Callithrix jacchus: one gene and its partner. The protein of the gene in region 1 purifies or fractionates together with the protein of each later gene. This does not show direct contact. Links are inferred from orthologs where the notes say so. Each region holds a gene or a part of one and is shown on either strand. Other genes may lie near its edges.

Region 1 (4,879 bases):
TACTGGTCAACATGGTGAAACCCCGTCTCTACTAAAAATACAAAAAATTAGCTGGGCATGATGGCACGTGCCTGTAATCCCAGCTACTCAGGAGGCTGAGGCAGGAGAATTGCCTGAACCCAGGAGGCGGAGGTTGCAGTGAGCCAAGATCGCGCCATTGCACTCCAGCCTGGGTAACAGGAGCGAAACTCCGCCTAAAAAAAAAAGAAAAAAAAAATACAAAAATTAGCTGGTGGTGGCAGGCGCCTGTATCCCAGCTACACAGGAGGCTGAGGCTGCAGTGAGCCAAGATCAAGCCACTGCACTCCAGCCTGGGCAACAGAGCGAGACTCTGTCTCAAAAAAAAGGAAAGAAAAAGGAAGCAGTTGAATGCAAAATTCTAGATTTTACTGTTTTCCTAATAGCTTACAAGTCTCACTTAAGGAAGGAACCGAATTTATCAGCTATTGTATACTGAGTTTTCACACAATGCCTCTGTCACAGAGTCATGATGCGTCTCCAGTGTTCAGTTAGCTACACAATCAGAGTAACCAGTGAAAATGGCATGCCTGATCTGGGACAAACACAACTGGCTCCTGAGGACCATTTAGCCCAAGGGTGGAAGTAGAACCTGGCTGACGCCTAGAGCTGCCTGCGGGCCTTTCAGTCGGGATGGGGAGCAGGATGAATTCGCTTCACAAAGCAATGGGGCAGTTTCAACAACCCAGTGCGGCCGAGGGGGCTGTGAGGGGCTGGCTGTCCATTTCCTCCAACACCCAATTTTACGACCCCCCCAATCAAGCCGGGGCTGAGCTGGCAGAGAACAACAGTGAATTCTGATACAGCAAATGCAGCAGATATGGGTTCTATTCAGGTTTTCTTATTCTCATGTCTAACTCGTGACCATAAAAACGAAATTAAGTAGCGTACAAATAGGTTAAGCATTTACTGGGGGGCGCAAGCCGAGCCCTTTTATTGGCAGGATGCACAAACGGAACGGCTGGAGAGTCTGCTGCAAGGGCCCGGTCCCCACTTCTCCCCGCTCCCCCGTTTCTTTGCTTACTGGACGCGGTCCTTCACCCCGCAGTCCGCTCTGCCTAGGACGCCCCCCGCAGAGGAGCTGCGGCCACGCGCAAGGCCGAGTTACGGGACACGGGCGCCCAGATGACAGCCGCAGCCGGGCCCGCCGGCCCCCGCGCGGCCACGTGCACGCCGCGTCCCGATAGGGACGCGCCCCTCCGCCCTGCATCCCTGCAGTCACCTTTGGCTCGGGCTCAGGTTCCAACGCGGGCTCCGACCGCCGCTTCCACGGCCGCACGCTGAGCGAATCCGCCATGTCCCGCCGCGCGCCGGCCGCGAGCCCAACTGCCGCTTCCGGCAGCGATAGGGCCGCGTGCGCAGGAGGGTGCGCCCCGCCCAACCTGGTCCCGATTGGCGGGTGACGGAGGCGGGACGAGCACGCGCAGGCTCCCGGAGGGGCCGGGGCGGGGTCGGGGCCTGCGTGCGCGCGCCGGGGGTGACGCCGGAGGGCGGTGGCGGCGGCGGCGGCGGCGGGAGCGCGCCCGTTGCAAGATGGCGACGGCCATGCTGGGCCCCGGGGCTGTGTGTGCGCAGCGGGTGGCACTGCGGCCTGGGCGGCTGGCGCGGCGACGGCGCTAGCCCGGCCCTCGATCCCCCTTCGCGGCCGCTCCCTCCGCCTCTTCCCGCCTTCCCCGACATGGATTTGCCAGTGGGCCCCGGCGCCGCTGGGCCCAGCAACGTCCCGGCCTTCCTGACCAAACTGTGGACCCTCGTGAGCGACCCGGACACTGACGCGCTCATATGCTGGAGCCCGGTAAGGGCAGCGCGCGGGCGTGGGGCCCGTGGGGACCGGGAGGGAGCAGGGCCGCGGCGGACGGCGCGGGAGGGGCTCGGCGAGGGGACTGGAGAGCCGGGCCCAGCCGCACCTTGGCTTCCGCGGAGTGAGCCTGCCATGGCCCCGCCGGAGAAGGGCGACGGGTCCCGAGCTTGCCCAGACCCAGAGCCTTAGGTTGGGAAAGTGGCTGCGAGGCCCATTCCCGGTTTAATTCCTGCCCTAGCGAAGTTTCCTTGGGATGGGGTGAATGGGGCGTCCCCTGCCTTGGGCTTCTGCTAACTGTTGGGCGGTTGCGGAAGTGTCTGCACTTGGGGCAAGCGCCCGGCTTCGACAGCGGACGCTGTGCCCCAGGGGACATCGGCGTCCCCAGGGCATGGCCTACGGGGTGCTGGGTCGGCAGCTATTCCGAGAAAGTCAGGACTTGGCACGTGAAGCGGAGGGCGTTGCTGTAGTGGAACAGGAAAGGCCGTGAAAACAGAAAGTAAGAAGACGTCATGAAGCTTCAGGTTGATCTCAAGCCCGTTTCCAAATCCCAAATCTGGGTTTCCCAAGAGGAGTTTGTTTCCATTCCTTACGGGGCGTCTTTATTCGTGCCTCTGTCTTCAGTTGCCTGGCAGCAGGCTTGTTTACATGATCCGACCCTGCAACACCGGACAGCTCCGGTTTGCAGAAGTAAATCAGCGAATTGTCTGGAGTTGGAGATCAGAATCTGCTGTTCGCATCCCGGTTGTGACGTCGTGTCCGGTGAGGGGCAGAGCCACAGCCCATGGCTGGCAATTGATGGCCTGAAGAAAGGCCACACTGGCCGAGCAGGGTGTCTCCTGCCTGTAATCCCCGCACTTTAGGAGGCAGAGGGGGTGGATCACTTGAGGCCAGGAGTTCGAGACCAGCCCGGACAATTTGGCGAATCCCCCACTCTACTAAAAATGAAAAAATTAGCCGAGCTTGGTGGCACTTGCCTGTGGTCCCAGCTACTTGGGAGGCTAAGGTAGGAGCATCCCTTGAACCTGGGAGGCAGAGGTTGCAGTGAGCTGAGATCCTGCCACTGCACTCCAGCCTGGGCAAGAGTGAGACCCTGTCTCAGACAAAACACAGAAAGCCACTGATAATTGGGAGCTTTTGGAGGGACTGTGACAGGCGGGGTGCCACCAAACATGTGTGGCCTCCCAGGAGCTAAGACTCCAGAGCTCTTCAGGCTCTGCTGAGTGCCTCCTGTTTGCACAGCCTCCTTATGCTGTTAGGAATGAAGAAAAGTGAACTGAAGCTGACCCAGCCAGGAGGCCAGGTTTTCTGCTTCTCAGGTTTACTGAGGCTCTGCTTTACCTACAGAGTGTTTGGGAATAAAGAGAAGACTGGAAATCTTGCTCTTGTTAGAAACTCTTTGTATGTGTCCTGCTGATGCCTCTGCGTTGGCTTCCCATTCCCAAGTCCCCATAAGGTGAGGTGCAGTGCACCTTCCTGCAGCCTGACTTCACTTCACCCTCTTCACTCTAGACCTTGGCATTCTTATGCAAAGGAAATTCTCCCATGTTTCTGTCTTCTTTAATCCTTCTTTTTCTTTTTTCTTTTTTTTTTTTTGAGACAGAGTCTAGCTCTGTCGCCCAGGCTGGAGTGTGCAGTGGCTCAATCTCAGCTCACTGCAACCTCCACCTCCCAGGTTCAAGCAGTTCTCCTACCTCAGCCTCCTAAGTAGCTGGGATTACAGGTGCATGCCACCACTCCTGGCTAACTGTTGTATTTTTAGTAGAGATGGGGTTTCACCACGTTGGCCAGGCTGGTCTGGAACTCCTGACCTCAAGTGATCCACCCACCTTGGCCTCCCAAAGTGCTGGGATTACAGTGAGCCACGGCGCCCAGCCCTTCTTTTTCCTATTCCCCTTAACTCTCAGAAGTACTCTCCTGCCCCTTCGGGGAGGGGCATCCGAGATTCTCTGGGATATTCTAAGCCTAATCCTACTAGCATGACCTATTCTGTCCTGTAGTCTGCTTGCTGTTTCTGCTTAAAGATTATGAGGCGTGTGGGTTAGGTCCCAGCGTACTGTTTTTGGGACCAAGGCATGTCTTGGGCAGGGCTTTTGAGCAAAGGAGGCAGATGTGATCAGGCCTGTGGCTGGCCTCCACTCCACTCACAGGTGTACCACCTGTGGGCCTGTTCTCCCTGGGGAGGGATGGGGAGCTGACTGGAATGTGAGTGTTGGTTCCACCTGGTCAGTATGAAGTGGCCATGGTTGGTGTGGGACATAGCAGTGGGGGCTAGCATGGCAATGAGACAGAAACACTGACTTAGAATGGAAAGAAGCTCTTCTCCAGGTTGGGCAGGGGAATGCAGAGCTTTCTGGCCCTGGCTGCCTATCCTGGAGAAAGGAGGTGATCATCCCATCCTGTGGCTTTGACGGCACTCACACAAGCCCTGAGGACTCCCTGTTGGCAGAGTCCCAAAAGGGGACCCTACCATCAACCTACTGGCCAGGCCCTGCTGGCTGTCGGAGGCCTTAGAAAGCCCTGCTCCTCATGCTGTCTGCTGCCTTCTCTGGGACAGTCCCCTTCTGGCTCAGAGTCTTACCACCATTCTGCCAAGGAAAACCATCCCTGTTTGTCATAAGAAGATAAGGCAGAATTACAGGCATGGTGACTGACTTTCAAGGCTGAATTACTTGGGGGAGACTGAGGCCCAAAAACTGGCCAGTGACTTCACTGCACCTGGCCAGGAATGGGACCAGGTCTGGACAGCCATTGCACTTCCCCTTCCTGGCCTGAGATCTGGACTCCACTGCAGCCAGGAGGCAGAACACTGGCTCGCTGCCCAGGAGAGCTCGTTTCATGGGGACTGTGGTAGTTGCCCCATCCCTGTGGTGTTTGATTTCCCACCCCCTAGACCCTCATTCCCACGTGTGCCCAACCACACAGGCAAGGGCCTAGAGGGGACCCAGCAAGTCATGGAGGACAGCATAGCCCTGCCTGCCCTGGAGAGGAATTGTGTCATCCACAAAGTTATGATCACAGGTGGATCCACACAAGAGCATAGGCATGGACATGGGTGGTCCT
Region 2 (3,811 bases), on another chromosome or scaffold:
TTAGGATACGGTAAAGAACATATTTAGTGGAGTGTTGGGTCTTCTCCCCCCCCCCCCCTTCTTTGAGATGGTGTCTGGCCTCCTTCCTCAGACTGGAGTGCAGTGGTGAGATCTTGGCTCACTGCAACCTTGGCCTCCAGCCATCCTCTCACCTTAGCCTCCTGAGTAGCTGAACTACAAGGGTGTGCACCATTATGGATAATTTTGTGTTTTTTTTTTTTTTTTTTGGTTTGGAGAGGGGTTGCTATGTTGCCCTGACTGGTCTTGAGCTCGTGGGCTCAAGCAAGCTGCCTGCCTCAGTTTCTCAAATTGCTGGGATTACAGGCTTGAGGCCAAGATTGCAGTGAGCCAAGATCACAGCACTGCACTCCAGTCTGAGGAAGTCTGAAAAGCCAGCTAAGTACATGGTTTTAGAAAGATACGGTAATTCGTAGGTAGACGTAATAGAAACTTTTATCTTTTGGGCTAGTAAGAGGAGGTGCTCTTTTACTTCCCTTAAGCCCACTATTAGTCTAGTTTTGCAATCGTTAGCCAAAATGTACGTGCAGTATTTCAAGATACTTTGAAAAGGTAACCTTAAGATAGTTTTAAGGGAAAACTGAGGCATTACAGGTATTGTCAGAGTATAGACATGGTGTTGTCCATTTGGCTGGGTAGGCACCTCAGCCATCAAATGTTTACCAAGGGTATGTATTCAGCCCTTGAGGCTATTTTATTTTAGAGGGATCTCACTGAATGTTTCACATACAAACGTGTATTTTTGAAAAGTTATAAATGGGTGTGAGAGACAGTTAAGAATGTCATTAAAAATATTAAGTGATTACTTAAAGGCTTATTTTATAATAGGTGGCAATTTTGGAGGTAGCCCTGGTTATGGAGGAGGAAGAGGAGGATATGGTGGTGGAGGACCTGGATATGGCAACCAGGGTGGGGGCTACGGAGGTGGTTATGACAACTATGGAGGAGGTAATAAATTCACAGGCAATTATCTGGGAATTTATAAGATCCTTTATTTGGGGAATTGGGGGTGGAATCAATGGTTTTGTAACACTTGATCTTTTATTTCAATATTTGTCACTGGAGGCCCTTAAAAGTTAAAGATAAGTGTTTGGTTTTATTTGTTTTTGTGGGAGCTTTGGCCTGAATAGTCAGTATGTATCATTGGTTTAATGTTTGTATTGTTCTGAGGTCCATTATGTCAGTATTTCAATTTATTTATAGGAAATTATGGCAGTGGAAATTACAATGATTTTGGAAATTATAACCAGCAACCTTCTAACTACGGTCCAATGAAGAGTGGAAACTTTGGTGGTAGCAGGAACATGGGGGGACCATATGGTGGAGGTAATTTATAACTAAAAATTGAGATTGTTCAGGTTTTTGTGATTAAAGGTTTAGCCTTTCGTGATTTAAAGGGAAGATACCATACTAAGTAGTTCGTATTTGGACAGTGCTCTATATGCGGTCTTAATGCATAAGTCTCCAGAAATACTTTAGCAAGCAATTAATATCAAATTGTGGTGGAAGTGGGGATGTTGAGAAGTTGAAAGAATTTCCGGTAGGGGCTCATAAACAGCCAAGTAAAAATACAACCAGCATTGCAATGGGTATAAATTTGGTATGAGGGTCTTTGAAGTTAAATACTTCCAACTGTGATTCAAACCATTGCTTAGTTTATTCTTGAGGTTTTTAGCAGGACTATACATTTTGTGTTGTGCTTGATGTACTTTAAAAAAATCTTAGTCCAAATGATGGTGAGAGGACCAACCCTTTATTGAAAAGAATAGTGTCAGCCACAAAATTAAAACCTGAGTAATTGATCTCCCAAGTAATACTGCTAACTGGCTGCAGAAGTTAGGATCTGCTTGTTTTAAAGATTTGATAGATATAAAATAGAATCAACTGTAGTAGGCTGATCATGGGAAATCTAAGTTTGTTTTCTCTCTCTGTTCCAACAATTCTAGGAAACTATGGTCCAGGAGGCAGTGGAGGAAGTGGGGGTTATGGTGGGAGGAGCCGATATTGAGCTTCTTCCTCTTTGCCATGGGTAAGTAGCTTTTGAGTTTTACAATTATTATTATCTTGGGAGATCTAGCTGCAGGAGTAAAAGCTTTTTAGGATCATGTTATCTTTCCTTAAAATCTGGTTAGATGGATAATTTCATAACCTATTTTTTTTTTACTCTTTACTTCTGTTGAAACAGGCTTCACTGTATAAATAGGAGAGGATGAGAGCCCAGAGGTAACAGAACAGCTTCAGGTTATCGAAATAACAATGTTAAGGAAACTCTTATCTCAGTCATGCATAAATATGCAGTGATATGGCAGAAGACACCAGAGCAGATGCAGAGAGCCATTTTGTGAATGGATTGGATTATTTAATAACATTACCTTACTGTGGAGGAAGGATTGTAAAAAAAAAAAAATGCCTTTGAGACAGTTTCTTAGCTTTTTAATTGTTGTTTCTTTCTAGTGGTCTTTGTAAGAGTGTAGAAGCATTCCTTCTTTGATAATGTTAAATTTGTAAGTTTCAGGTGACATGTGAAACCTTTTTTAAGATTTTTCTCAAAGTTTTGAAAAGCTATTAGCCAGGATCATGGTGTAATAAGACATAACGTTTTTCCTTTAAAAAAATTTAAGTGCGTGTGTAGAGTTAAGAAGCTGTTGTACATTTATGATTTAATAAAATAATTCTAAAGGAAATTGTGTAATTATAGACTTTTTATTTTAAATAAGTTAAGGAGTGGGTAGTATAATTAAGGTTCGTTGCAAAGCTGTTGTTATATTTGTGTAAGATAAATGCTGGTCAGATGTAAGTGTGTTGTCTGCAATTCATCAGGATTAAATTATGTAGATAACTTAAGGGATATCTCTGCAAGGAGAAACACCTTTTTAGATCTTTTAGATGCTGCTTCTTCAATGCAAGGAAAGGAAATAACCCCAGCGAGGTACTCTTCAGGGACACAGGTCTAGTACAAGAGAACTCTTGACGGCTACTAAGTTCAGCCAGTCTTAAAAAACTGTGCTGTTTCTACAAAACTTTAACTACAGTAGTTTATAAGGATGCCAACGAAAGCTGAGGGTGTAGAGCAAAATAGTTCTAAGCTTCAGTTAAACTTCTTTAGGTAAGATCTTATTTACTTTTCCTTTCTTAATTTTCCTCCCTAAAAGATAAACTAATATTCTTCAATGGTCTTTCAGTATAGTGGTTCTTACGTAGTTTAACATAGCTATAAATTGAGTTTAACAATTTATAAACTCAAGAGAATTTTTATAAACCCTGTTTTCCAATCTGTCATTTACTTAAATTATTTTGGTTGTTCCCTTTTTTTCCTCCTTTCCCTCCCCTCCCCCTCCATGTGAAGATTCAGGTGCTTAACATATCATTTTTTTCCCTGCTGGAATTTTAGCATTGATATGAGCCATGGACAAGTATATTCTGCTGCCACAAAGACTGTAAAGTGCTTCATTTCAACAGCTGAGGCAAGCCAAGTGATCATTAATAAAGCTTTTCTTGGTTCCTTCAGTGGTGTTGGTAGTAAAATGGTAGGTAAAAGTTAGGCTGCAAGTTGAATAAATATGAGATTTCCCATCGTTACACCCTTGTGTATTCACATTTCTTGTATCAAACATTTTGAGTGAACTTAGGGGTTTTTATTAAAGACATTTGTTCTATTTATGGTTCTAGCTGTACATGCTTATCAGGATGAGACTGAAAGAAGGTAGCGTCAAAATGGTTGAATCTATTTTCAGATAATAGTTCATACTTGAGTGAAGTGTCTGTCTACGTTATGAAGCCTGTATGTATCCAG

The links. The genes of interacting proteins can lie anywhere in the genome.
Region 2: the proteins of HSF1 (region 1) and HNRNPA2B1 purify together in Homo sapiens (affinity purification with mass spectrometry; 3 studies listed by BioGRID, with this or other methods). This does not show direct contact. The link is inferred for Callithrix jacchus from reciprocal best matches to the Homo sapiens genes HSF1 and HNRNPA2B1.

Annotation. Positions count from the first base shown.
Region 1 is NC_133517.1:53,330,579-53,335,457, reverse strand, and holds the start of HSF1 (heat shock factor protein 1), read left to right. Parts: upstream 1-1,543; 5' UTR 1,544-1,696; coding exon 1,697-1,813; intron 1,814-2,138; exon of another isoform or gene 2,139-2,340; intron 2,341-2,440; exon of another isoform or gene 2,441-2,578; intron 2,579-3,058; exon of another isoform or gene 3,059-3,193; intron 3,194-4,879. Other genes in the region: ribosome biogenesis protein BOP1, read right to left, coding at 1,241-1,315. UniProt on the Homo sapiens protein: Functions as a stress-inducible and DNA-binding transcription factor that plays a central role in the transcriptional activation of the heat shock response (HSR), leading to the expression of a large class of molecular chaperones, heat shock proteins (HSPs), that protect cells from cellular insult damage.
Region 2 is NC_133512.1:31,908,141-31,911,951, forward strand, and holds the end of HNRNPA2B1 (heterogeneous nuclear ribonucleoproteins A2/B1), read left to right. Parts: intron 1-846; coding exon 847-966; intron 967-1,221; coding exon 1,222-1,344; intron 1,345-1,964; coding exon 1,965-2,026; 3' UTR 2,027-2,047; intron 2,048-2,203; 3' UTR 2,204-2,702; downstream 2,703-3,811. UniProt on the Homo sapiens protein: Heterogeneous nuclear ribonucleoprotein (hnRNP) that associates with nascent pre-mRNAs, packaging them into hnRNP particles.